Caenorhabditis elegans: one gene and its partners. The protein of the gene in region 3 interacts with the protein of the main gene of each other region in a pairwise test. Each region holds a gene or a part of one and is shown on either strand. Other genes may lie near its edges. The genes, in order: ham-2, dve-1, nhr-91 and ifbp-1.

The links.
Region 1: the proteins of nhr-91 (region 3) and ham-2 interact in a two-hybrid assay, tested with the Caenorhabditis elegans proteins (2 studies listed by BioGRID).
Region 2: the proteins of nhr-91 (region 3) and dve-1 interact in a two-hybrid assay, tested with the Caenorhabditis elegans proteins (2 studies listed by BioGRID).
Region 4: the proteins of nhr-91 (region 3) and ifbp-1 interact in a two-hybrid assay, tested with the Caenorhabditis elegans proteins (2 studies listed by BioGRID).

Annotation. Positions count from the first base shown.
Region 1 is NC_003284.9:4,552,983-4,559,909, reverse strand, and holds ham-2 (Zinc finger protein ham-2), read right to left. Parts: upstream 5,226-6,927; 5' UTR 5,217-5,225; coding exon 5,057-5,216; intron 4,412-5,056; exon of another isoform or gene 4,268-4,411; intron 3,978-4,267; exon of another isoform or gene 3,536-3,977; intron 3,168-3,535; exon of another isoform or gene 3,029-3,167; intron 2,799-3,028; coding exon 2,625-2,798; intron 2,577-2,624; coding exon 2,305-2,576; intron 2,255-2,304; coding exon 2,072-2,254; intron 1,980-2,071; coding exon 1,836-1,979; intron 1,345-1,835; coding exon 1,099-1,344; 3' UTR 502-1,098; downstream 1-501. UniProt on the Caenorhabditis elegans protein: Probable transcription factor that acts downstream of egl-15, to promote migration of the HSN motor neurons from the tail to the gonad primordium during HSN cell differentiation.
Region 2 is NC_003284.9:427,794-435,456, reverse strand, and holds the start of dve-1 (Homeobox protein dve-1), read left to right. Parts: upstream 1-1,657; 5' UTR 1,658-1,663; coding exon 1,664-1,844; intron 1,845-1,956; exon of another isoform or gene 1,957-2,485; coding exon 2,486-2,612; exon of another isoform or gene 2,613-3,306; coding exon 3,307-3,421; intron 3,422-3,473; coding exon 3,474-3,583; intron 3,584-5,951; coding exon 5,952-6,114; intron 6,115-6,164; coding exon 6,165-6,464; intron 6,465-6,769; coding exon 6,770-6,917; intron 6,918-7,457; coding exon 7,458-7,636; intron 7,637-7,663.
Region 3 is NC_003284.9:15,307,438-15,315,383, forward strand, and holds nhr-91 (Nuclear hormone receptor family member nhr-91), read left to right. Parts: upstream 1-1,937; 5' UTR 1,938-1,941; coding exon 1,942-2,102; intron 2,103-2,159; coding exon 2,160-2,265; intron 2,266-2,316; coding exon 2,317-2,405; intron 2,406-2,962; exon of another isoform or gene 2,963-3,256; intron 3,257-3,931; exon of another isoform or gene 3,932-4,066; intron 4,067-5,225; coding exon 5,226-5,321; intron 5,322-5,389; coding exon 5,390-5,442; intron 5,443-5,493; coding exon 5,494-5,651; intron 5,652-5,927; coding exon 5,928-6,331; intron 6,332-6,379; coding exon 6,380-6,631; intron 6,632-6,804; exon of another isoform or gene 6,805-6,873; intron 6,874-6,922; coding exon 6,923-7,028; 3' UTR 7,029-7,457; downstream 7,458-7,946. Other genes in the region: glb-28 (Globin domain-containing protein), read right to left, coding at 7,547-7,577, 7,628-7,819. UniProt on the Caenorhabditis elegans protein: Orphan nuclear receptor.
Region 4 is NC_003283.11:13,369,567-13,374,589, reverse strand, and holds ifbp-1 (Interferon regulatory factor 2-binding protein 1 & 2 zinc finger domain-containing protein), read left to right. Parts: upstream 1-1,569; 5' UTR 1,570-1,691; coding exon 1,692-2,023; intron 2,024-2,361; coding exon 2,362-2,599; intron 2,600-2,648; coding exon 2,649-2,865; intron 2,866-3,220; coding exon 3,221-3,642; intron 3,643-3,737; coding exon 3,738-3,818; intron 3,819-3,953; coding exon 3,954-4,037; 3' UTR 4,038-4,495; downstream 4,496-5,023. Other genes in the region: srx-125 (7TM GPCR serpentine receptor class x (Srx) domain-containing protein), read right to left, coding at 4,600-4,729, 4,783-4,913.

The DNA of each region.
Region 1 (6,927 bases), about 11 Mb from region 3:
ATCTAAATATTAATTCATTTTCGAGAAATATTTTAAGCATCTATTCTGCAATAACATAGATTTGACTATTTTTGGAGTTTTATATGGTTTTAGAATACTTTAAATACACTCCTGAGAAATTTTGAATAACAATTGAAGCCAAACACAAGTTCGTAAGTATTTCATCTAGCAATTTTTCGTTTTGATGTAAGAAAACGAAAGCTGCAAAAAGGGAATCAACTAGTACGAAATTTCTTGAAGCTGAAGTTTTAGACAATCGACTGAGTACATCAGGAAGAAATCAGAAATGAATCATGCTCAACCTTTCACTATGCTGATTGTGACGTCTAGTGGGTCGAAAAGGTAAAAATGAATTTTCACATCGCTTCACCTGAAAGCACATTACCCTCTGAAACGGGTTCAGTTTTGCATTCAAACAAAATGATGTTTTATGCGAGGATAACATCATCTTGTGAGAGTTTCGTTTTTGCTAGTTTTTTGTATGGCTTATTACTTCCTGCATTTTGAACTTTGAAAATTATTTATCACAAATATAATGAAATGAAATCATTGAGGGAAGGAAAAAGTCAAGGCGGGAAAAAAGGGTAATGCTATAAAAGTCAAGAAAAGGACCAGAAGAAATAAAAAAGGAAACATTTAGAACAATGAAGTAATGTAAAGGACGTTCTAGGTAAATCGCTGAGTGCATTTAAGGCTACGTTTTATTGAAGCTATTGCAACAAAAAAGTAAAGTAGATTCGGATTGTTTGGAAAATGTCCACCAGTTTCTAAGATTGCGGTAAATACAATTGTCAGGAATGAGAGCACTCTGATTTTTTTTGGAAGTTTGAAATATTTGGATGCAAAGATAAGAAGTAGCTACGAGAATAGGCATTATGTACAAAGATATAAACGACAATTAGTTTAAAAGCCAACCAAAACCGCTTTAAAAGCTGTTGGTTCTTTGATTCAGAGTATTTCGGAAATTGCTCAAAGGATTGTTGTATTTCAATGGCTCAAAATGCTGATTAGAAACAAGGAATGAAAATGACTACGTGGTTCAACTAGATTTGATGACACCATCAAAATCGGAAATAAAGAAATTGAAATCGTTTGGATCTAGGGAACCACTGAGGGACGGTTCATGTGAATCAAATTGTTCAACAACATTCTCATCGCAGGATTTTGAAATAGATTGTTCGGCCCTGGAGATGGCATAGGCATCATCGGAGGAGGCAGCATCACGGGTGGCATCGGATTCGGTTGAATTTTGCGGAGGAAATCCACTTGAACTTGCAACTCTCTAATGGTCTTTTCATAGGCACGACATTTGTCCTCAACTGCAACAAGCTTCCCTCTGGCTACCTGAAACATCATAAACTTATGTAAATTATTAAAAATATCAGTGGGTGGGGGATAACTCAGTCGGTAGTGGTGGCCGCTGAAGAACTACAGGTCACGAGTTTTTACAGTGCGCGCGCTTCTTGTAGGACACCCCTAAATTTGTGAAGCATTGGAATACATACAATTCTTCAGGAAAATTTTTTGTGATATTTGGAATCGAGTGTGTCAAAAAACCTCGAATCCGTTTTCATAAATTTATCATCACAATTGAAAGCACCCGTTTTGCTATAGGACCCTGAGATTTTAACCAGCTGAAACCTAGCGTGAACTTGAAAGTGGAGCAGTCCATGACTGGATTATCAAACTTAACCTAAAGACTAATCATATCACCAGAAGTACTGTACCTAATTCCCAGATTCTCTTCACATAGCGCTCGCAAAATGGATGGTTTTTTATTTTTTTTTTTCATATTTTAAATTATAATTCAAAACCATTTAAGACAACTTCCTAACCTGACAATCAAAGCATTTCAAACTTTCGCCCGAATGACTAGACGATCCACCACTGATGTGAGAATCCGAAACCGTTGGAGAAGGCTGATCATGGGAAATGTGGATGTTTTTGTCATCAATCGTCATTTTCAATGGTGGTTCGCCCTGAAAATTTTGAAAGTTTCATAATATGACATATTAAAGTTTAATGGGGTGAAAAACAAATTTTCCTCAAAATTTCAATAAGTTTTCCTTACATCATCGCCTTCCACATCAATATCAGCATCGTGTTCCAGTTCTCTTTTGAAAGTTGGTTCAGTCTTGACAATGACTGACCGAGGGCTGACATCACTGCTTTCCACTTCAAATTTGATGTCTTCTTCAGTTGTCTGCACTTCTAAGTCGTCATAATCGCTAATATTAGAAGACTGGATGGAATCCTTAAAATGTAATACATTTGAATTCAAAACATCAAAGAGTTGTAACGTACTTTGGACGGTGTTTGTTGCGCTGCCAGATTAAGGGCCGCCGTGTTGATGGGATTGTTGGCAAGCCACGCTGAGAGGAACTGTGAAGGACCCATGTTAGAAAGATCCAGGGGGAACATCGATTTGGAGTCGGGGCTTTTGAGCAGTGTCGGGAAAATGGATCCAATGTTGTTATTGTTTGCAGCAACTTGTAACATACGCTTTTGCATCAACAAATCAGGCGAGAAGGGTGGAGACTGACGCGGGGAGCCCGACTCGGATGTGCTATCTACAACTGCAAATTTGTATTAATGGATTTCAAAATTTGTGGGTAGATCTTTACCATCTGAACTCTTAGCTAAAACAGCCGCTTCCCCCGGTGTCCCATTTTTCAGCATACTCTGCATATGGATGTGAAGACTTGTTTTGTCGGGAAAAGCCCAATTGCAACACCGACACATAAACATTCGGGTAATGTTGTGTACTCGATACATGTGACTGCGTAGTGTATCGTTGCCTGCAAAATTGTTTCTTAAGGTTTCCTAATGACTGAACAGTGAGAGCAGTGCCGGCTCATTTCGCACTCATTTTATTATGGTAATTATCAAATACTATTTGAACCCTTCTCCAGCTTTTGAATTCATGTCTCAATGATCTAAATATTTGTCGAAAGTAACATGTAAATGGCTATTTGCCAACCCCAACTGCATTGCTATTTCCATATTCCACTTAATTGCCATTCTTTGTGCCACCGAGCCTAACTGTCTATCAATCAAATGAAATTCGCAACATTGGGACACTATACGCGCGCCCGTAAAGGCATGTTAGGTGCCAATGTGACGAATGTTCTACGACGACCCCCCTCATTTGCATGTTTGTCTGAATTTGAAAATACGCACTATAGAAAATCTATAGAATAGCGGATCTTGCCTACCGACAAAGCAGTAACACAAAAAAAAACGACAAACGCAGGGGTCAGGCTGTAAAACATTTTCATGTTATGTTTCGGTATTCTACTGGTTGATCCGCTTATTGTTGGATTGCGCACGAGTAATATAACAAATCCTGTTGATCTGCCTGCTAACATGCCGCCGTATGGATTCCACGTATAGGCGAGCGGTGAAGTAAGGTGTGAAAAAAGCTGGGTGCTTTGGCCGAAAGTTTCTTGAACGACCCCCATGCTCAGCGAACCGTAACAAATGATTGACGGCGAGTGAACAACCAATAAATTGTAATGTTGGAAAGGTGGTAGAAAAAGAAGAGGTTGCAATTTTTGTTGCGGAAGATGGGGAAAGAAGACAATCGGTGGTTTTTTTTTTACTTTGCCCGCGCGCTGGCCCTATTCTTCGCTCTCAAGCTCACTTAGCGACAGTGGCGTGCCAACAATTAGCTGATGGATGGTCATCAAATGACTGACCTTGGAGGTTCATCCTACCTTCCATTCCAAGAAAAGAAACCATTAAGTAATACATACATACCGTCGGTTATTTATGCCTCTCGCTCTCTTAGGAAGCCGCTCGGGATGGAAAGATGGGGCAATTAGACAATGCAAATAGCAGACGTGTTATTGTAAAACTGTGGCGTAATATGGTCAGAGGTGTCTTTTCAAAAGATTCTTGCACAAATATTAGAGTCAATTTGTTATTATTTAATACATGATACTGCTTTCCATTATAGCTGGAGACGCTCCAGTGGGAAATTGAAAAAAAATAACGCCGAATTTGCCAAACGACGCTACAAAAATTTTTTGAAATTTTTAATTTTGTTTTTAAAATTGGTAATTACTTTTTTGAAAGTCGTCGATAAACAGTCGCCTACATATTTTTCAAATATAAATATTCAAACATTGTAGAGATCCGAACATGCGGCATTGCTATAGTTTTCTCGAAAAGTGGCAAGAACACAGTTATTGCCACTTTTTGACTGTCAATAATGTTGGTCATTTTGGCTCTATATAAGTGGATGTTAACCATTTCCCCACTGGCACTACTCCACCTTTAAACTTTTTGCTACTAGTCCAAAAGTGCACATGGTTGTTTTAAAAGCTTAACAGATATTACTAAATAGATACTCCTAATTGACAGTCGGAGCTATCTCGGTATTTGCACACCTCCTCATTCAGTTTGCCATGCCATATAGATGTCTACAATTAAGAATACAGTAGTAGTTGGAAAGGGTGTCAATATTTAGATAACCAATGTAATTTTTTGGCGGAAAGAAGGAGACTGTATCAACCTTGTTTGACACATGCCCAATATAGCCACGTGCTAATCGGAGGGTGTGAGTTGAGTTTAAGCTTGTCAGTAAACAATGCCACTGAGCTTTCGCGCATTTCAGATTATGGAGACTTCCGATCAAATAAATGTATTGGGAGGGAGATTAGAAAAATGTAGAAATGCAATAAACTGGTAGAAGACAGAAACTAAATGCAGCAGGAAATAGAACATTCGTTCAGAATTTTAATTCAATTTTGAAAAAATAAATTAGAAAGTTAAACATCACCTAGAACCCATAATTTTTTATTTTTAGATTTTTAGATCAATTTTAAATTTTCAATAGAATAAGTTCCGTACAATTCAACAATAGCTATGTTCTCGAGTTAAGTTTCCCTCTCTTTTTTCTTATTATCATATGATAAAACATGATACAAAACTGTGAAAACATCAATAGCGGCATAAATTGTTTCGCTCTTTCTCCCCTATTGTTAGTCAAGCTCCTGCTACTCTGATTCATCTATTTCTCTTTTTTTTCTCAAACTTGCATTTTCAAACTTACTTGGAATTTCGTTGTTGCAAGTGGTACAGGTGTAGCTTTTAAAGTGAGCCTGCATCCGGTGACGACTCAGAGACGAACTGTGGCAGAATACTTTTTGGCAAATCGAGCAGGGAAATGAGCCTTTCAAATCGGGACGTTTTAGCTCTGCACGATAGGGCATTGTCTAAAAATGTTTTTGTTATTTGATGAAGCTTTTAGAAAATGGTGCTGAAATTTTCACAAAATCGAATTTGAAAGGAAACACTAACAAGGAAGAAGAAAAAAACGGTGGACAGTTTGAATGAAAGAGCGCTCATAGATGAACAAGTAGGATGGGCTACCAAGACCTCCACTACTTGAAAAGTTTTGCGTACAACACTCGAAAAGGTATTCAGACGCAGCTCTTCTCTCCGGAGACAAGAAGGTCGTCGCCGGCTGACACCAACCAGGTATTTACACCCTCACTTGATACTGTTTAAAAGTAGCGAAAAAGCATACATAGCAGCGATTGGACAATGCATTACAGTAGCTCAAGTATGGCGGGGAAGGTAAGAGTGCTCGAGAGGAGGAAGTGAGAAAATAACAGAACATTCAAAATCGAAATTTGTCACACGGCTTCTGCAATCTTAAAATGAATACTACAGTAATCCGGTGACCTGTGCTCTTGGACTAACAAAATGGCAAGCAGTAGTGCAAGAACGAGCTGAAGGCTATGACTCCCCCCGCCTACCCGATTTTTGGAGGCGGGGCATACCATGCAGAATAGAGATAGTGAGCGACGGGACGCACGGGGTGAGGGGAATGGCATCAAGCACAGTCGGGATAGTAAGTGGCAACAATTTTGGCTAGCAATTGCGAGTTGATTAGCTTTCTCAATTTTGAAAAAAAAAAGTTGGAAGCGAGTCTTAGATAGAAGCACGATGCTCTTAGGAACAGATGTGGGCAAGCTGTTCAAGCTTTTTTTTAGTATAGAACACAAGCGAATAACAGTTGGGAAACTTCTACCAAACACGGCTGACCCAAAAAAAAATAGAATGACGCGAGGGATACACCAAAAAAGCCCTCAAACCATAGACAGCATGATTGCTTGAGTTGAGGATTGCGCGCATCTTCGATTCTCGTGTTCTTTTTTCTTATTGGACGACCACAACAAAACCAGTTTTGTAAAATTGATTCGGGTTGCGCAATGCTAGAATAAACTATCCAACATCGCTATTATATTCGAATTTTTGTCTCTCTCTCGCTCCCGCTCCCCCTCTCTTCTGACTGCCATTCGACCCCATAATCACACAATGCTTTGAGGCCGGTTTTCTCGATCCGCATCAACAAGTTCAACTATCTCTATTCAATGTGCTATTTTAATTGGGCACACACTACCAAAATTTTGAAAATGTTGAGTATGACTGTTGAGTTTCTATCTATCTGTATTATTTTTTTGGGCCTACACACGCCGCAGCAACTACAGTAATTGTAGAGCGGTGACGGATAAGAGTGTGAATCTTACCCCGTTGAGATTCTCGGCACGAACAGGGATTGGCCTTGGCCGTGTGTCCAGGCGCTCGTATAATAAGGATTCACCTCCTCCCGCGTACAGGTCGCGTTCCTTTTCTTGACGGCTACATAATCAGTAGCTATCATAGCACATCTTGCCTTTTCCCGCCAAATGTCTATCTGGTATATATCTCCGAGAGAAAAGAAACAAGAGGCGAGTAAGGTAATGGAGATATAGCGAATGGATAAGAAAACTGTTCCATATACTACATCAAAAGACAGACAGGTGAACGCAAAGTGACAAGAGGTCTAGGTGGGCAAGTAGGAGGAACATATGAGAAAAAAGGGAAATGGAAATGAACATTTTTTAGAAGTTTTCAATTTTAGCAGGACTAACAGGT
Region 2 (7,663 bases), about 15 Mb from region 3:
TTCTACTTCATGCTTCTTGTATAATCCCATCCGCGGGGTTGGTGTCTTCAAGCAACCGGGATTACTCTTTCCGGCTTATTCGAACCCCCTCTCCTTGCTTCAGTATTGCTCCAGATTGCAATTGTTTCAATTAGCCGCTACGATGACACCTAAACTAAATCCTCTAGGCTTAGGGGCACAAACATTCGTTTGTTAGAACTGATTATGTGGAGATGGAGCAAGATAATACAAGTGTAGAATACAATGATTAATCAATGAGTCTCACAGAGTTTTGCAAAAATTCTGAAAAATTAGATATTTCCAAAACCACGTTTTATACCAATTGTTGATTTTTGACTCATAGTAATTTTAACAATAAACCTTGTTAGATAAATTTCTAGAAACGGATTTGAGTTTTGGTGTGGCGAAGTATCAAAAGTGTACACATTATCTTATCGACAATAATCCCAAACCCACTCGGAGCTCCTAAGTAAATAGTGACTTGCATTCCAACCACTGTCTTATCTATAACTGGCAGACCCCCTCCTCTCCCGAAACGCGCATCCTTAAAATTTCTATAAGTAACTTAACCTTTATCTCTGCTGACACATCGGGACAATTCTAATTCTGATGCGCCCCTTATGCGATGTGTAGCGTCGTTATTTTCGATTTGACGGTGAGGAAAAGAGAAAGGCGGGGTTATAGGGTAGAAGAGTGAAGAGAGAGAGAAAATCTTGAACAAGTGGATTGTCTTTGTTCGATTCTTCTTTTTTCCTCCCTCAACGACGAAGACTAAGACGATGCCATACCACAACGACCCGAGGCTTTTCTCGAACTAGTAGTACATGATCGTTTCTACAGATGGGGGAGGGTTGGCAACCAGCCCCATCTTTCTTTTTTCCACTGTTTTCTACCTCACCTACCTATTTCTCCTCATCTTCCGCATTCTCTGCCTCTTTTAGACTCTTCCATCCGGTTCCTACATTATGCCATCTCGATCCCGACCTCCCCCCCCCTCAACCCCTCCTTACTACTTTCGCTCCATTCGTCGTCTTCAATCTCTTCTTGGCGACGACGTGGTCGCCTTCTTTCAGATTTTCCATATCAAATCTTGTTTTCGTTTTCGTTTCCATCCATTCTCATCTTCAACTTGTCTTCAGTAGCGAGTAAGAAGTAAGAAGAATGAGTACATGTCGCCTGATTCGTTGTTTTTATTTGTGTCTTAAGATTTCTAACCCCCTCTTGGACAGACTGCAAATCTGTTATCCAAACTTGGTGTCTCCCGTTCTTTTTTCATTAATCGCCTTAACAAATCCCACTATCTCCCTTTCTTCCATTTTTGTTGCTCTCCGCTCTATTCCATCGCAATTACGGTTGAATAGGTGCGCGCTTTCTTTTCCACCTTATTTGCTCCAACTAGCCACAACTACCATATCTCTTTTGCTCTTGCTCTCTCTCTCTCTCTTACTCGCTCTTTTTCTATCTATCTTCCCCGCATCATAGAAAGCCCCGCCTCCTCCATATCTATGAAAAGTGGGCGGGAAGTCCGCACACCAATCGGAGCGCAGAGCTAAATCTATCCAACTATCTTCTGGCTCTTCTTTCGATTCTTCTGCTATTAGTTTATCTCGATTTCTCATTTTTATTTTAAAAATTTCAAATATAAAGTTTCATTCAGCTAGATATGTTCCCAATGAGGGTAATCGTGGAAACAGTTCGCTCTCAACATTGCTTGACATGCTCAAACGAAGGACACATGATCACAGACACTTATGCAATTGTCGCAGGGACCACTACATTAAATCAACTCGTCGAAACTGTACTAGCAGCTCTTGGACATTCGAGCATGTCGACAAGTGCTCGAGGTTAGTTGAGAAAACATTTTGAAAATTGCCATAGACCTCGTGACTAGCTAAACTATTTTGGTATTAGTAGTACACATTCCTTATCTTCTTTTCTTTCATTTTTGTTCCTTTTTTTCATTCGCCAAAAACGGATAACAGATCTATCTTGTGATTGACAGATTTACCCTACTCTAGGCGAGTAAGTAATTGAGTATTGAGTGGGATCTCCTTTTCTTGACAACTACTTTCAGTTTCAATTCAATCTCATTGAAGCATAACGTGGTTGCGCAACTTCGCTATGCTGTAAGAAGATATACATCTTCCTCCTACCCCGAGATCACCCACTTTTTTTTGGCTAAGACGACCCTACCCACTCATGTGTTTTGTTCTGCGCCTCTTGCCAGATCAACGGTATTTCTGCGATTTCAGCGCCCTCCTCCCATTTTCTCACTTTCACGTTTTCTTCCACCTTAGTAGAAAGTGAAACAGACTGTCGAACCTGTTCTTTTCTCGGCGGCTTTGCCTCCTTGGTATCTACTTTCCCAAAGATTATGCAATCATGTGAAAGGGAAATCGGAAAGAAAACGAAGGGAATTGCATAGGGTTTTTTAAAAAAATATTTTGCATTTGTTGTCCGAAAATCGATAATTCAGAAATTTCAGGCCTCATACAAGTAAACAACTGGAAACCCTTGCCATTCGATCAAATTACTGAAAATTTAGATGACACTGTGGAAAACCTCTTCAAAGATATATCATCACATGTAGTGCTAAAAATATTGTCAAAACCGTAAGTGTTTCCTGAAGTATTCTTGTTTCACTCCGCACTATAACCTCATCTATCCCATCCAATCCCGCTCCAACCAGACGACTGTCGATCGGGAGGTTTGTGTGCTCCGGGGGGCTCATTCTGTAAAGGTGAGCAAAATCGCGCCTCACAACCCCTATACATCCTCTTTAGAACTACTCAAAGAAAATGGCAAACATAGGTATGTACAATGCGCGCCTCGCACACACACACATATATATAAACACATTCAGACATGTGTACAGGAGAGAAAAAGTGATGGAAGGAAAAAAGGGGGAAAACTCATTGAAATTGGCGGTGGCTGAAAAAAGATACATTTTGGGGCGCATTTCTAGTCATCAAAAGTCAAAGGAGCGGGAGGGTCCGGGGACCAACAAAATTATTTACCTAGATCCCCGTATGACTTATCCTATCTGTTTGCGGATTATTGTCGCTTCCTTCATTTCTTTATATCGTTCATATTCTATTGATATTTGGCATTTAGTTTGCTATCAAACATGGCACTCACAAATACCGCAAAAGCTTTAGCGCTTTGTCCTGCGACGCAATTTTTATGAGACCAATGAAAGCACAAACCATTCACGGACCGAATTCGATTTTTATAGCCCTATCCCTGGGCACACATATGCCTATACACACACACAATTTTATGACCATCATCATGATTTTCTTTCAGATCTACGGATTCAAATTCTGTGCAATGTATAAGTGAGGTGAAGAATAAACTCCTGAAAGCTGCAGTAAACAAAAATCCCAATGTTTTAACAAATGTGGATAATCAGCAGGTTAAGGTGGGTAGCTGCTATTTTCTCAATAATTCAATTTCAATTCTGATAATTGCAGGATGTCATCAACACAATCATTGCCGGAGATGAAACACTCTTGAATTCCGAACAAATTGGTGCAGTCAACGAATGGCTTGATACGCTGGAAACGAACGAGGATCGTAGAAGGTAAGATAGCGCCGCCCATGCAATGAGTTGCGAGCCAGTCAGCCAACCAGCCACCGTAATCCCGCTGTGCGTGTTGGATGTGAATAGAGGGGGGGGGGGGGCAGAGTTTGAGAGAAAAGACAGAGAGCAGTGACACGGGGGGTAGCGCCAAGTTAAGCCGCTATTCGGTGCTCGAGTTAAGCCCCCTCTCGGCTTGTTTGTAGAAATAGACTTTATGGATTGGTTAGGAATTTTGAGCTGCAGGCAGGATTGTGTATACATTGTGGTTGAAGGAAAAGTTATGAGAGAGCACCCATTTTGTTTATAAATTTTTGGGGAAATTTAGGAGATGGAATTTTGCTGTCTCTAGATATCAGGTAAAACCGATTCCTATCGGATATCATATAAACAATATACTTTTCCACGTCTGTGCATTCTTATTCACATCTGAAAAGAGAGGACTTAACTTAAATAGTTAGTTTCGTTTAATTTCCACCGCAAGGATTCATTGGAGCTCCCCCCCCCCCCCCGTCAGAATTTCAATTTCCTGAGGTTGTCTTCATCAAAAACCCGCCTTTTGTTTTCAAGTGTCGTAACAATCAGAATGGATAGGCGTCGGGGATTAACAAGCCGGCAGATTGTATCATTTGCTCTTTCTTTGGTGCCCATCATCACCATTCATCTTATTAGTGACAGCCCCCACACACAATGTGCGAAAACGATGATTGTTTGGGATTGGAAAAGAGTAGGGGATGGGTTCAATGGGAAGGGGAAGGCAAAGTGATGAAGATATACGTGAATGAAGTTAGAAACACTAGTTTATACCGAAGTATCTAAGAATTGCTTTGAAGACAAGTTTAATCTATAAAAAATTGTTTGAAACTGTAAAATCGTTATATAAAATTGATTTTTTTTACTTTATTACCCATTTGCGTAGCAGAAAACGTTTTTTTTTTTTTTTTTTTTTTTTTTTTTTTTTCTAAGCCTAAAAATAAAAAACTACACACGGTTTTATTTTAAAATGTTAAAATTTATTTTTTCAAAATGAGGTGAAATAATCCACAAGTACCAAAAATTTTCCTTGTTCTTAGTGCTAAAATAATAAAACACCGTACGCCTTCTATTATTTGCCAACTTAAAATGGTTGAGTTCAAAAATTTTTGAAAATCTAAAATTTTTAGGAGACGATTCACCAAATATGTGGCTTGTCAGAATTTAACAATTACCAAAACTCAAGTTTTATTTCGTAACTCAACTATAAATTCCACTAAGCCGGTTGACAGTACGGTTGATGCCCGGATAAGAGAGCAGTATTAGACTGAGATGAAGATAGCTAATTTCAAAAAAAAAACGAGACAAAAGACAAAACGATCAAATTCGGTCGTTCTCTAAGTGCCCTCCATCATGCCATTGTGTCTTTCTCAATTTCTCAAGAGAAGGAGGCTAAGAGATCAGGACTGGTTTTGGCCCCTTGTTGACCCGTGAAAACATCTCTGAAACTGCCACTGCCTGCTGATCTACATTCCCGAGACAACAAAGGGAAGAAGTCAAATTATAAGTGATGGAGACAGTTGTTTTCCACATATTCCTTTATTGAAACTCCTTCTTCCAACGAGAAGAAAAAAGGAAAAAGAAAAAGCTGAAATCAAGTTTTCCAGTCATCGAAGCACATCCAAATTTTCGAATTTCCAACTGTACAAATAATTGAGTTGTGTTGTGAGTAATCTTATTGTGACATACAGACACAAGAGAGGATACAAAACATGTACATATTGCTCTGAGGGAATGGGAACAGCAGAATAAAGGGCAAAATGGGAAAGGACGGCGGTGACGCATTCTGTAAAGAGTAATAAAGAATAGAAAAAGGGAGATTGAATGCGTTGTGTGCATACAGTGATATATCCAAACTGTTACCCGGGGGGGGGGGGGGGGCGCAAAAACAAGAAGAAGGGGACCCAGTATAACTATCAGAATGGAGTCGTGATTGGAGAAAAAGTGTCAGTAAAAAATGATTAAAAACTATCCTTACAAAAAACTTGTATACGAGTAATTACACCGTATTTCCTCTATTTGTATTGTACCACATTGTTCAACTTTAACTGTTTATATCTCAGTTATCGTTTGTGCTATTCGAAGTTGTTAACTAACAAAATATTTTTTCAGTTATTTTTCTATAGATTCGTAGTTAAAAATATATGTATATCTTTAAAGTGTATTTATACTCTTTAAAATGAATTAAGATATAACGTTTCAAAGTTAGGTAGTCGGGTGCAATACAAATAGAAGAAATACGCTACATGATTTTCTTTTCATTCCACTCTCAAGAAAGATAAACGCCTGCTTTCATATTACTTTCAGTACACATAATAATGTATGTATTTAATTTCAGCCCAACACAAGTACAAAGATTCAACACTCTTTACGAAATTCCACGTCTTGATAAATGGTTCAAATCCGATGCAAATCCATCTAAACAAAAAATGAACAATTACTTAAGCCAGCTCAATCAGAGTCCGTTCAGAAAGAACAATTCCAAGATCAGCTATCAACAGGTGAATTTAATGCGCCTACATATTACTCCATTAATCAAATGAATTTCCAGATTTGCAATTGGTTCACACAAAAACGCTCGAGTTCCCGTACCTTAGCTCCAGTAGACCTAGTGCAGGTCTCGTCAGCTCAGACAGCGGCGCAGCTGCTCCCGGGATTCCAACTCAACTTGCTCCAGTCCCTGTTTGGAGAACAACGTCAAAAATTTGATTTTTACGACAAACTGGATGAAACCAAGATTGTCGGCGGCTCCGACTCGCCATCTCCAGCCGATGATGAGATTCATAGCAATTCAGATGAAACTATTCAAGATACTTTGTTTTCCATCAATATTAAACCAGAACCGGAAATTGTAAGTTACGTTTGACTGTTTGTGCCATAGTTAGGTTGATTAGCGTTGCTCGTGCTGAAAAGCTTTGAAAAATCACGCTAAAAACGGATTTTCGGCTATTTCGATTCTGATTCACATTAAAGATAACATCTCCCAAATTGCTAAATATTACCGATAAGGTTATAAAGACCTAACACTACGGCCGAAAATCTGAATTTATTCCAAACTGTCAGCGTCGGCTGAGCGCCAATTAAAAATATTTTTCGACACAATTATGGTCCACCTTTAAAAATTATTCATCCCAAAACAAGCAACATTTCCTACAGGATTCAATTGCATCCTCCCCGGATATGGCAAACTCAATGCGCGAATCATTGTCCTCGACCTCCCCAAAGCTTCTCAGCGGGCTCGACCTCGGAGCATTCAGCACCCACTCATCATCCACCAACTCCATGCAAAACGCCAACTCATCAGGTACAACAAAGAGCTTTAAAACAGACAGGCTAACGGAAAAGAGAGGGAGATGGGTTGAACCAAGAACTCATAAATTAGAAGCGAGCACACACACACAAACACACATAGACATACACAAAGTGCGCGAAGACACATAACAAAGGGAGAAATGTGGGGCGTCGAATTTCGCACAGACAACCATTACGATCACTGAGATCTGAGGAAAAAAAAATGAGGCTAGGTATTGTGTTTACAGAAATAAAACAGAAAATCAACTGCAAACTTGATTTTGAGAAATATTCTAGGGATTTTGTACTGGCTCAAACTTATCGAGAAGGTGGCCATGTTCATGATACTCAGTCTGAAAACCTATATTGGTTGCTATCTCTAAAACGCTCTTAGATTGCGTTTGCTATGCATATGAAAAATGACTGCATAAAAATTCTCTATCTTTTCGACAAGAAAACTTTAAGGTGGAATTTTACTTCTATTTTTCGATAAAATCACTGACGCGGAACGTTTGAAAAAATTCAACGATAAAGCAAATAATCTCCGTTTTAGTGTTTTCAGCGGCTCGCTCACGCCTGATGTTCGACCCACTCACCGAGCTACCCGTCCTCGAAAAATGGTTCGAAGAGAATCCTCACCCGACATGGATGCAAATCGATCAGTACACACAATGCTTGAACAACTGCGCTTATCGAGAGAATTATCCGCATATTAGTCAGCACAATGTGAAGGTAATATTCTATATTAATACTGATTAC
Region 3 (7,946 bases):
TACTAGGTCGTTCTACAACCTTTCCTCCTAACCACGATAAGATTAGCCACCACGGTTGCTCGTGCTGCACCCTGATTAGTATCCAACACTCTCTGGGCTTTGTAATCACTCATGTGTATAGCAGCGACCCTCTCACCTTTAAATTTGAATTCGTGTGTGCTGCTCATAGAGAGAAAAGACTCATATTCATCCACGTACCCTTTGCTTCATCATCCGCCTATACCCCCCCCCCCCCCCACAGCTTCTCCCTCCCGCTCACCAATCCCTCCTCCTCTTTCCCCATTTTATGTGCACTTTGAAAATAACCTTATGAGATCGTCCAGTGAAAGGAAATGGAGACAAGAAGAGGCGCCGGTGGAAGGCAGGGGCAATAGGAGGAGAGACCTACTGTCACTCTCGTTTGACCGGCAATAGGCCCGATTGAATGTACGCGGTTTTCACGAATTTCAAGGTCTGACCCACAAAATTTCGTTCGCCCTCCATGCATCTTTCACCCAATTTTGCTTTTGCGCCAATATCCGCGCGCTGTCCCCCCCCCCCCCCCTCCCTCCATCCTTCATCCATTCCGGCTTACCATCGTCTCTCTCTCGATTGTTGTGTGAATGTGTGTGTGACCTACCGACCTACAGTTTAACTTTCTCACTTTGTACTTTCTTGAATTATCCTCCTCTCCTCCTCAACCGCCTTGCGTTTCGTTTTTCTTTCTCGCATTTTCATTTTTGTTCGATTAGTATCCTGGTTACTGGATCAGCGATGTAGCAACAATGTGTTACAAGTTTTGAAACTAGCAAACTAGTTGAAAAAGTCTGGTCGATAGCTTATCACTTTTATGATTAACATGTTTCATTTATTTTCTATATCTGTTGCATTTCCGCCATCGTTGAGAATCGCTATTTTTCTAGAAACTAACTCAATAACTGTCAAAATGATGATTACCACGTTTTTTAGGCTCAAACCAAACCGGTATGTACTATTTCGGACAATAGAAAAACTGTATCACTTTGGAATAATTTTTTTTTAAACCTCACTGTATATTCCTTTGTAACAACTATTTGTATACAGCAGATATATAGGTTTGGTTTCAAGATATTAATAATATGATTAGTTTCAATACTATAGGAACATAAGTTTGATAAGCTTTTTCTCTATTTTCAAATTGAGCAAATTCTTGCAAATAACCGTAAAGTATCTTGCAAGTTAAATTGGTAAAATCTGTTTTTCTGTTCATGGAATGTTTAGGAACAATAATTGATTCTTTTTAATTGTAGCAAAACTGATTTGTCAAACAAGTAACTTTTTAATGTTAAAAACTCTATTGTTATTTTTATTCTCATAAACCTACCACTACAGTTTTGTACCTTCTCAACCCACCCGGCAACGGCTCTCAGTACCAGGCGGTGACGTCCAAATGCTGCCATTTGGCTCTCAACGAGCTCCGCCGCCAAATGCGTGACCTTGAAAATTGGTAGACGAACCCCCCCCCCCCCCCTTCCACCGTCCCGTCATTTGAAATGCTCTTTTGCACACTCTGATCTCACTTCGATAAACTCGACCGGCCCTACCATCCGCGCTTTTTGTACACTGCGATTCTGACTCAGAAGTGAGGAAGATTTTGTACCTCTTTCGAACACACAATTTTACTTTTTTTTTGCTTCAAAACAACTATACAATTATTCTGACTTTGTTCGGTCTTGATAATACATTTATTCACACGAGGGAGCTCATTTCCTATCTTCTTTTCCGTTCTGATTACTATACAATCGCTCAAAAACTGGGTAACAAAAATATTATCGCATTTTCACGACATCTACAAGTCTAAACCAATTGTTCTTCTTTGCTCCCCCTCCCATTTACATACCCCATTATACTGTCCCTACCGTATGTTGCCTGCTCCATCTGCATACATTAATGACCTCTGATTAATGAGCCTCTTTCAGTGCGATGGACGTTGCGGACTCGACATCTGAGACGCCACCTGTTTTTGACCATGACAACTTGGCTCTCGCGGCACAGACCAACTTGTTGCAGTTCTACCTGACACATTTGGCATCCACACTGGTGCCGCCAATGAAATTGGATATGAGAGACTCGATGACTCCAAGGTAATTGCATTTTCCTGAAGATGTGGAGAGCTTAGTTTCAAAATTTTAAATTTTCAGCTTCAGTCAAACCGAAAGCCCAAACTCTGAAACCGACGACTCCACTTCTGCAGCAAACAAAGTTCTATTCTCTATTCTTGGAACTCCAACAACAGACAGTACTTCGGTATGCGAACTGAATGAAAATTATTGAAATTATGTAGTAGAACAATTACAGAATGCCGTTTCAAAATCCAGCAGCAAGCTGTGCTCGGTATGTGGTGACAAGTCAACCGGTCTACATTACGGTGCTGCCACCTGTGAAGGGTATGTGCATTTAGATATTAAAAATACGGAGGGGGGGGGGGGAAGTTCATACTTCGAGCAACAACAAAAAACTTTTTTCATGTATTTTGAAATTTACGCAGTTTCTGCTGTTTTCTGACCTCTGTTTTGAATTGTGGTACTTCCAATTAAGACATTGATGTTAATAGGATGCCATATAATACTATTTCAGCACTACATAATTAACCAAATTTTTTGTTTCAAAATATACATCTGGAATTATCTTTCAATCTGTATCTCTGTAATTAATTAATTAGGCAAGTGTTTTTACTGTTTGATGCTTTGAAATAGTGATGCTTTGAAAATTACTCTAATATAAATATCCATGCCGATTTCATAATTTAATTTAGTTTCACTTCACTTTCTTCCCTTTGCTTATATCTTGTTTTCTATCGAAAGTTTTCATATTGTTATTTTTCTTTTCCCGGGTGGTCAGAAATCTGTTCCGCTCGCCCTCTTCCAGGATCAACATAAAAACTGTCTGGAGAGAAGAAGGGGGAGAGCTATTAACGGAATTAGTGATCGGATCGGGAAAGCGAAAGTGGTGGTGGGGGGCACCACACCAGTGAAAGTCCAGTTGTCAGCACCAGTGCGCTACATTTTCATCCGATGCTGGGGAGGGGATGCTGACGCCGTCGCCGCCGTCGTCGTCAACGTAGACACACGTCCGCCTCGGGTGCTGGAGGGGGGGGGGGGCAGTCAGATTTTGCGGCCTTCAGAATCCGCGATGATGGTCAAGGCCTTCAGCATGACACGACGCACCGCCGAACACCCAGTCAGTGAAATGTTGCGAAGGGCGACGGCCGGCCAAATGTGTCACGCACCTCGACCATTCGTTTCTCACTACAGCGCCCTTCTCGCCTCCCGGTTGACCCTCGGTTTGGAAGGAGGTGAAGTCGGTAGTGGAAGTGCACTTTGAATCGGTTTAGACGGTTTTCTCTAGGTCACACGCACCATAAGAACTTGTTTCTTTTTTTTTCAATGTGTTACTATAAAAGTGATACTATCTGAATAAACCCTAAATCATAAACCCTTAAAAAAATATTTTTTTAACTCACAATTTTTCCATTTACAGCATAAACGTTCCCAAAATTATAGGCGCTCATTGTAAATATTTCATCTCAGCTTGCTGTAAATATTTCTATTTGACTGTACTGTTGTAAAGAACTGTGATTTTTAGTTGATGTCCGTCGAAATAATTATCTGAATAAAAAAAAACGCAATTGACCCGCACTTACGATAACAATCAAGCTATTTCACAAAAACGGGAGAGCTGCGAAAGTTCCCCCGAAAGTTCAGAACGGCCTTCCTAAGATAACAATCAGTGTACCACACCGTACTCAAAGTACAGAGGACACTCGGATAACGATCAAAGTAGGTTTCAGTAATCGACAGCTCAGTTAGAGAAAGTTCAAGTAATACATATTAGTCTATATCATTATCAATCGGACATATTGTCTCTCCGGAAAAAAATGTCGGAGGTCGACAAGGTTTTGTTAGGGAATCGCGTCGGACAAGGTCGGTTCAACTGGTGCCATTTGCGTACCTCTTCTCGTCACCTCTACTTTTCGGGGCCGCTCCTCCCCATCTTACTCGCTGCCCCACCTCTCATTTCTGATGACCACGACCCAATTTAAAGTGATTTTTGTCTTTTAAGTTGACCTTTTGCACAGTTTTCGTAGAGTTTTTTAAAATTTTAATTTAGAATATTTTCTATTTTCAAAACTTTTAAGCTGCCTTGCTGTTTCTTAAATTTATTTAGAAATTTAAGTTTTAACACGAAAATAATAAAAAAAACTTATTTTTATTTCTGTATAGGCTCACGTAACTTTTTTTTGTGCTTAAGTTTTAATGCTTATAATTGTGTGGAACGGTTTTACATTTTTAATCGGAATAAAATACCATTTCTAAGCATAAAAAATGCATGGCATAGTTTGTTTTCTAACAGCGGAATGCCTCGAATTTGACTTAAAATTTCAGTCAACCTATAAATCATGCAACCCATAGATAAAAATTTCCTCGGATGCACTTAGTGCCAGAGTGTCTGATTTCGGTTTGATCTACGCAGGTCTACAAAAAATGCGGGAGTTGAGACGCAGAGCAACTGATTTAGCATGGTTAAAAACGTGCTGACGTCACATTTTTTGGGCAAAAATTTCCCGCATTTTTTCTAGATCAAACGGTAATGGGACAACATGGCACCACGTGCGGATAATCTATTGGTTCAGAAAGCCAAAAAGTAGAAACAAAAAAATAGTCCAAAAAATAAAATGCCACATTAGCTAGAAAAATTGCAACACGTTTTTTTTTCAAGACACCAGTAACTTCTCCCCTTTTTTCGTCATACAACTTGAAAAAAGTTATGACAGACGGAAAATGTGGGTAGGTTGCAAGGGCATCTTAAAGAACAAGGTCACTCGAAGACCCCAAAAAGAGACGTCTCTGTTGCTGCCTCTTTTTTTTTTGCGCATTTCACTTTACTATCATTTTAACCCACCACCTTTTCCTCCCCCACATTTTCTTTTCCGCCGTCTTCTGGTTCTTCTAGTCCGCCACTTCTCACGTCGTCTGATTTTGAATTTTTTTTCCCGCCGTCCGTCTCGTTTTCCAAATGTTTCCACTTGTTTTGTTCTGTTGCATTCATTTTTCTCGATTCTGAAATGTCAACAACTGTCATTTGGCCGCTGGTCAATTGATTTGTTCCATATGCTCCACCTGCTCGTAACTTGTTACTTGTAACCTTGAATTTTCAAATTTTGAAACCCAGCTAGTTCAAAATGCTCAACAACTACTGTATTTCAGGTGCAAAGGATTCTTCAAGCGGTCCGTTCAAAACAAAAAAGTATATCACTGCAGTCAAGACAACTGCTGTGAAATTGACAAACAAAATAGAAACAGGTATGTAAATTCGAAAAATTCCATTCAACAAAAAAAAAGTTCACAATAAACCGTAATTGACCTTCCAGGTGTCAATCTTGTCGTTTCCGAAAGTGCATCAGCAAGGGCATGCTAACCGAAGGTTAGTTTTTCGGCACGGAGAATAACCGCAAAATTGTTTGTCTTTTTGTAGCAGTGAGAGAAGATCGCATGCCCGGCGGGAGAAATGGGAACAGTATCTATAGCAACTACAAGCAGAGGAGGAGTATCATTAGGAAAACGAAAGATTATGTGGAGGAGCAGGAGAGAAGGCCGTTTCAGAGCCTTCCAAGTGGGAAAAAGTTAATAAAGGTGAGTGAGCACTTGCAGAGCGATATGTAGTTTTTTGGCAGCCCCCGACACTTTCGGGGTTTCCATACCATGGTGGCTAGTGGCTCGAGACCGGCGGAACCTCGAAAGTGTCGGGGGCTTCCAAACAACTACATATCGCACTGCGTTGCTCAGCCCCAGCTCTAAATGCGGGGCTGGAGCTGAGCCCCTCGCAGCCCTTTAGCAGCCCTAGTGCATTATGAGCCAGTTAAAAATTTGAAACAAATTATTGCCTTATTCGATTTTGCTATTTTACAGGAACTGGTTGAGATGGACTGCCTAGACCGGCTCATCAACCTAAAAGGACTCCGAATTAATCCATCTGCAAACTGCGATATTGCCCCTGCTTGCAAAAGGTTAACCAGAATAGGAGATGAAATTGTGGAGCAACTTGTTGAGTGGACGAAAACCTTGCCGTTTTTCGACGAACTACCCGTAGAAGCACACACCCACCTTTTGACACAACGATGGGCCGAGCTAGTATTACTATCTGCTGGATACTACGCGTGCTCGGTCTTTACTCCGGACTCCCCCGACACAACAGAAATGATAGACGAAACTGACGAGATCTCATTCACAAACCCACAGGTCAACCTTCGGCTACTTCAAAATCGATTATCACTGGTGCTCGGCAAAGAAATTCCATTGGAACACGTGGCGAAGTAGACTATCAAACTTAACTTTATTTATTCTAAATGATAATTTTCCAGAGAAGCCGGTCCGCTTGTCACCCGTTTCACGACCCTCCTCCATTCGTTCTCAAATCTCAAGGTCTCTCCGGAAGCGTACGTCTGTATCAAAGCTATCACTCTTCTTCACCTCTCCGCCGACTCGACACTTGATAGGAGTATCATCGACAAGGTCAACACGCTTCAGGATCACTTTGTCAAAACACTTCAAATTCATCTGCACCAGCCGGGAGAGGACGCGCAGACGACGAGCCTCGCACAGATACTTGACTGGTGAGTTTTTATTAAAAATTGTATCAGAGTTAGAAAAAATGCATGTTTTCAATAAGTTGATGTGCACCTTTGGAAGCCCACCTGACATAATTTTTAATTGCTTATTCATATCCGTAAAATTTGCTAAGTTGGCAAAAGTGAATAGTTTTCCTAATGATACCTGTCCAGTCACTGACTTTGGTTCTCATTCCAAAATAAATTATAGTCGTACATATTCTGATATACGACATTACTTTAAAAGGCTCTAATATTATATAATCATTCCATGATAAAACGTTCGCAATTTTCCAGGCTTCCGGATTTGCGAAACGCTTCGTCAGTGCTGCTTCATTCAAAAATGTTCTACGTCCCATTCCTGCTTTGCAAGAATCCGCGACGTCTAGTGTTCGACGAGTAGTCTTCCCCAATACCCTCAATACAGCTTTATTTCTCGGTTGTGCAATATAATTTAGTTCATTTTTTCCACTTATTATTCGTTTCTTTTTTTTTTGAAATTCCCCTGCCTCTTTCCAATTCTTCCCACGAAACCAAAAAAGTTGACGTTTTTTTTTTCTTCTCTGTCTCTATCAATCAATCTGTTTGATCTATCTATCATAACATAGACGTGTGGTCGGAAACATAATCAAATAGTTTCTATGATTTTGGATCCTACAGTATCATTTTCTACTACTTTTCTTCAAGTTGTGAATTTCTGGAATAATTTGTGTGCAATTCGTGATGTCTTTGTGTTCTCTCCCCATTCTCTGTTCCTATCTCGTTTCTCATTCACCCACTCTCTCAAACAATTTGTAGTGTATTTTTCTACGAAAGAAAAAAATTTATTGGTTTAACATTTTTTTTAAATTTTACAGATTACAGAATCAGAATTGATACATAAACCATATGTTATGTTGTTGAAACTGCTTCATTTCGAAGTCAGTTATTGAACTCGAACGCCGATCTTCCGCTAAAAAATAAAAATTCCGGAATTTTTGATTTGAAAACTCTGAAACTTACGTCAACAGCTGAACGCGAGGAGTTAGCATTGGTGAGTGGTGAGCCAGGCGAGAAGCATGAGCAAGACGGTCTGCTAGAAATGAAGACATCACCATCCATGCCTTCACCGTTTCTTTATGACGACGCCCCGGACCATTCCATTCGGTGGCGGTGGTTAGCAAGCTTTCGCCAAATTTTTCCCAATGTTTTCCACTGAAAATAAAGATCAATGTAAATTAATGTAAATTAATATTAAAAAATTATTTCAAAAAAAAAACCGGAAAAATCATGAAAGAATAAGTACATCTTATCTCACTAATGTGATAATCGTGCAACTCAC
Region 4 (5,023 bases), on a different chromosome or scaffold from region 3:
TCTCTACCCTCTTTATTGTTCTTGTTTTCTGACCGTCACTTCGCTTTGCACCCCGTTTTTGAATTTTAAACTCCTGCTAAAAGTTATAAATACGAATGTGGGAAGATCGGCTCTTTTTGTTTGGATACTGATGAAAAGTCCTATCAGCTTAAAATCATGAATAGTTTAACAGCACCTTCTCAAGCTTGAAAAAAAGTAAATGTGCAAATGCTCTGCTCAAAGCCCCGAGTTGAAACAAAGTTGTTTACAAAATTATCTTGGTTTAGGTTTTTTGTTCAAAATATCAGTAGTGCAATTACACATTGTTTATTCTACATTTTTAGATCCATAATTTTCTAAAACAATATGATAATTCTTTCTGAATCATCTTTTTTTTCAGTTAAAGGCACTTATCGAGAATTCTTCTTCCCCCCATTTATTTTGCATATCTATTGTGCCAACATGAAATTTGCATTTCTTCCCATTTCTCTTCATTTTCCTTTCATCCAAACATCCACGTTTTCTTCCCCATTGTGCAACGTGGTGCACCATGTCACAGAGAGAGATCTAATCTCCATATTTCTTTCATATAGTTTTTCTTGAGCTTTCAGTATCAATGAACTATGCTCCAAATAAATATTGGTCGGCCTAGCACATCTATGGATGGCCTTATCGGAAGGTTTCTCTCACTTATTCTCATGACTCGCCAATTCGACTTTCACTTGTGTTTCTATCTTTTCAAAATGAAATCACACACCTCTACTTTGGTCTTCGTACCGCTTATCAGTTGTTGGGAAGGGTTTTTCTCCAATAAGGAGGGGTTTAGTGACCTTTCAAGCCTTGTTGACAATTAGCCATTATAGCGTCTAGGAAAATCTAGAACTGATAACAAATAACAAAACATCTAAAATCTAGAAACAGGAACATGTTGATCTGAAAATTGAGCAAATTGATGTTTTGTGCAACTGTGATAAGTCAGAAATTTTGATCACTTTTGATAATAGTTATTCCCCCAACAAAACATTTGAAGGTCTCAAAAACAGAGGGAGTCTCCTCATTTTTGCATTTTCGGAGCCAATTTTGAGTTGCCTTCTTCCATTCCAATTCCTTTATTAAGATGCAGATCCGATGCTAATGATATGCACTATCCATACGTCTTGTGGAATATGAATGAGGAGAGGTCGAAGACTCGGAACCCACCTCTTTTTCTTTTTATTTTTTCTCCTGCAGCTTTTCTTTGCCAATTCTTTGTACACAACTATAGTAATACAATGTGCTCAATGCGTCACTCAGTGCTTCGCCCCTTACTGTCTCCTTCTATTCGTCGATTATTCATAGAGTTCTTCGTCATCCAAAAAAAGTGTTACACATCGCTGTAATAGTTCGGACCCACGCATGCTCATGGTTTTGATATTTTCCATTGTTTATTTGAAATAATACAAAAAAATATTCGATTACCCTAATAGTTTACCAAGTCATGGAACAACCCTGTTTGTGTGCAACCAGAGCATCAGCGTTCTGTTATCAGCTGCCGGCTTTTCTTCTTTTATCACTAAAAAACCATGCCTAGTTTTTTCACCTCTCGACCCTATTCGTCTCGGTCAGGAATCTTTCTTATCTCTAGAATTTCTCCCTCTCTTCCATCACGAACTTGAAACGCGCCATTCCTATTCCTCTACCCCATCATTCTTGCAATCATTCCTCTCGTGGAAATGGGCTCGTTCGCTGAGTCGGCTGCTCTTCTGCAGGCATCGATGTCTCTTTCTCCAACACCTTCTATAATTAACAACAATAATACTGTCGATTATTCTCTATCACTCCAGATGCTCGCGGCTCCGAACGCCGTCTCATTGGCCTCTGTCAACGGTTCTGCTTCACTTCTAACTGCAACAACTGCTGGAATGAAGGCGAATAATAATTCAAATGAGAAATTACCAAGACAACAATGTTACCTGTGTGATTTGCCACGCTGGCCGTGGGCAATCATAAATGATTATATTGAGCCAGTTTGCAGAGGATGCGTCAATTATGAAGGATCAGACAGGTTTGTTTGGAAATAATGATGATGAAAATTCCTTTCGATTTTAAAATTTTCCAAAGTGAAAGTCACAAGTTTTCTTATATTGATACAGGACATGAAAATTTGACACCCTTTTTCTTATAAGACTGCAAGCTAAAAGTTTGTTCTGTAATAGATTTCCTAAAGTTTTTAAAGAATTTTTTTTTTGAAAAAAATTAGAAAAAGAACATATTTTTTTGACGATTTTTCTGCCGAAATTTTTTATAAATTGCAGGACTTCACGATCTTATAGTTTTAAAAAGGTTTCAAGACCAATTGAACTTTTTTTGTTTTTTGTCACCAAATATCTTTTTCTGTTTCAGAATTGAACTCGTACTTGAAGAAACACGCCAACAAAAGAAACTCCAAGGAGTTGGAATCAGTGATCCACAGAATGCAAAGACATCCCTCCGAGATATTACACTTACACAACAACAACCCCTTCAAACATTACCAGTCACTTCTGCTAATGGAATCGGAAGGATAAGCCCACAAAGGACACCTCAGCCAACGGTACTTCCCACGTCCCCATTCCATGTGCCAACTATGAACAACTTGGAGGTAAACATATAAAATTGAAAACTGCAATAGTTTACAAATTTATTTTCAGCAAGTTCTGACCCATCAACGACTTCTGCAAATGACACAAGCCAATCCTCGGGCGGTTGACGATCTTATTCAACAGTCTCTTCGAAGCTTGGGCCCAAATTCTCATCTCTTGGCTCCATTCATGATGAGCATGCTTCCAAGCACAACTTATTCAAATCCAAGAAAACGTGAATCTGACGAAGAGCAGAAGCCTGAAATATATGGAAAAGTGCAGAGAGGTATGTCAGTTAGAATTTAAAATTGACATCGTCCCAAAAAACCGGTTGTTGCGTAAAGTAGTAGTGCCCCCTTCTCTCTCTCCGATTAGCCCGTGTATCGTCTCTCTGTCACCCTCTCGAATTGCGTAATACCGATAGACCCGACAGAAAACCAGCCGAATTTAGAAGAATTAGAAGAAAAGAGTAGCGAGTTGAATGAGTGACCTCGAGAGAAATAAAGGGCTAGATATGGGGTCAACACTTTGAAAACGGAACCGGTTTTAGAGGATGGTAGTGTAGTTGGTTGTGGCGTCGTTGTCGGCGCCTGGCACCCAGGGTCATCACCCCCTCATCATCATCATCTTCTATTTTTCAGGCGATGCCCAAACGACAACTGCCTCGCCAACCTCAACTCATTCACCAGACCATCCGGGAGTTAAGGATCGGAGAGGGATCGCCCCAATTGAGAGAGTTTTGAGATGTACACTGTGCAATGAACGTCTAGAAGACACCCACTTTGTACAATGCCCAACAGTCAGCATTCACAAGTTTTGCTTCCCATGCTCGCGGAGCAGCATCAAGGATCAATGCAAGAGCAGTGATATGTACTGCCCATCAGGCGATAAATGTCCATTAGTCGGATCAGCAATGCCATGGGCATTCATGCAAGGAGAAATTGCACAAATCCTCGGTGACGAGTATGACGAGTTCAAGAGAACCCGAGAAGCTCACGGTCTTGCTCCACCGATGGGTGCCAACGCAGCGACTCTCGCCGCGGCAGCCGCGGCAGCTGCACAGGTATGCCCTTATCAGATTGTGTGAAACTAATTTGTTTGTCCAATTTTGTTATTTATGTTTGGAACTAAATCACCCGCATTTTGCATGGTTTTCAGTTGAGACGGAGACAAAATGCTCAAAGAGCCCACCCTCATCGCACTCTTACACGATCCACAATTAACACTTCTACCTCATGTGTAAGTGATTACTAACATATGACATTGACTAGCATGCAAAAAATTGATTATCGGATTCAAATAAATATGTTGCATGCCCCTAACATCTATTATTTAAACTGATTTTTTTCATTTTCTGAATGAATTAATTTTCAGAACGGCGCCAATCAAACATCTCCAGCCTCCACAACAACTTCTGCGGCTTCTTCCACATCTGCCGCCACGTCACCACAAAACTGATAACCTGTGACGTCACGGAGCACATTAGGCACAAATATTTTTTCTTTCAATCTCTCTTTTTTCTCAGTCCCACTGAAACCGTTCAAAGCTGCACTCAATGCTTTTGTCTGCTTCACCACGATCTCTACTTTTTCCCCCTTTCCAAGTTTTCTTTCTCTCTCTCTCTCTTCGGTCCCAACTACGGTGTGATTTCAAGGGACATTTGGTAATAAATCTTGAGATTTTTTTCCTTTCTCATTTCCCTTTTCCTCGATTACGCTTTTCACTGCTTTTGGGATTTACGGTTTCTTTTCTTTTTTCAGTCCAAAAACTTTGTAATGTTCGTACCTTATCCCCAGTCCATTCTCCCCTGGAACATTGAAAATTCAACTGCCAAACAAATCAAAAAACAACAATCCCACCAAAGCTTTCAGTTTATTTTTTCATTAATTGAATAAAGCTTTGATCAGAAAACTTAAGATATAGTTTGAGAAATTGCAAATTTTCACATATTCTCTCACGAATTCCAAGAATTCAATGTGAAAACTCGGTATAAATTCTACAAAACTTCGAATGATTAGAATTAATCAGAAGGATGGAAGGAAGATATTTTAGATCTGTTCACAAAAATAGTTCCAGTCCTCGATTTGGGCTTCAACAATCTGCGACACCATTGCGGATGTATCTCAGTATGGAAATATAGCATGACGCTTCTGTAAATGTTTCCGGAAACTCTTATCAACACGTTCGACCAACGTCCACTCACCCGTCCAGCGCATGAATCGATAGAAAACTGACGGACAGAAAAATGAACTGATACCAAATTGCTGAATTGAGTTTGAAGAGTATTGTGCAATTGATCATGTCGATCAAGTGAAGTGTGTCTTGCAGCACACTCTGAAATATGGAAAAAGGAGATTCCGGTAAAAGTATTCATGTGAAGATGAAAATTGTTTATGTATTTGTTCTCGAGAATAAACAAAAGTTGATAAAGATAACAACGGTCA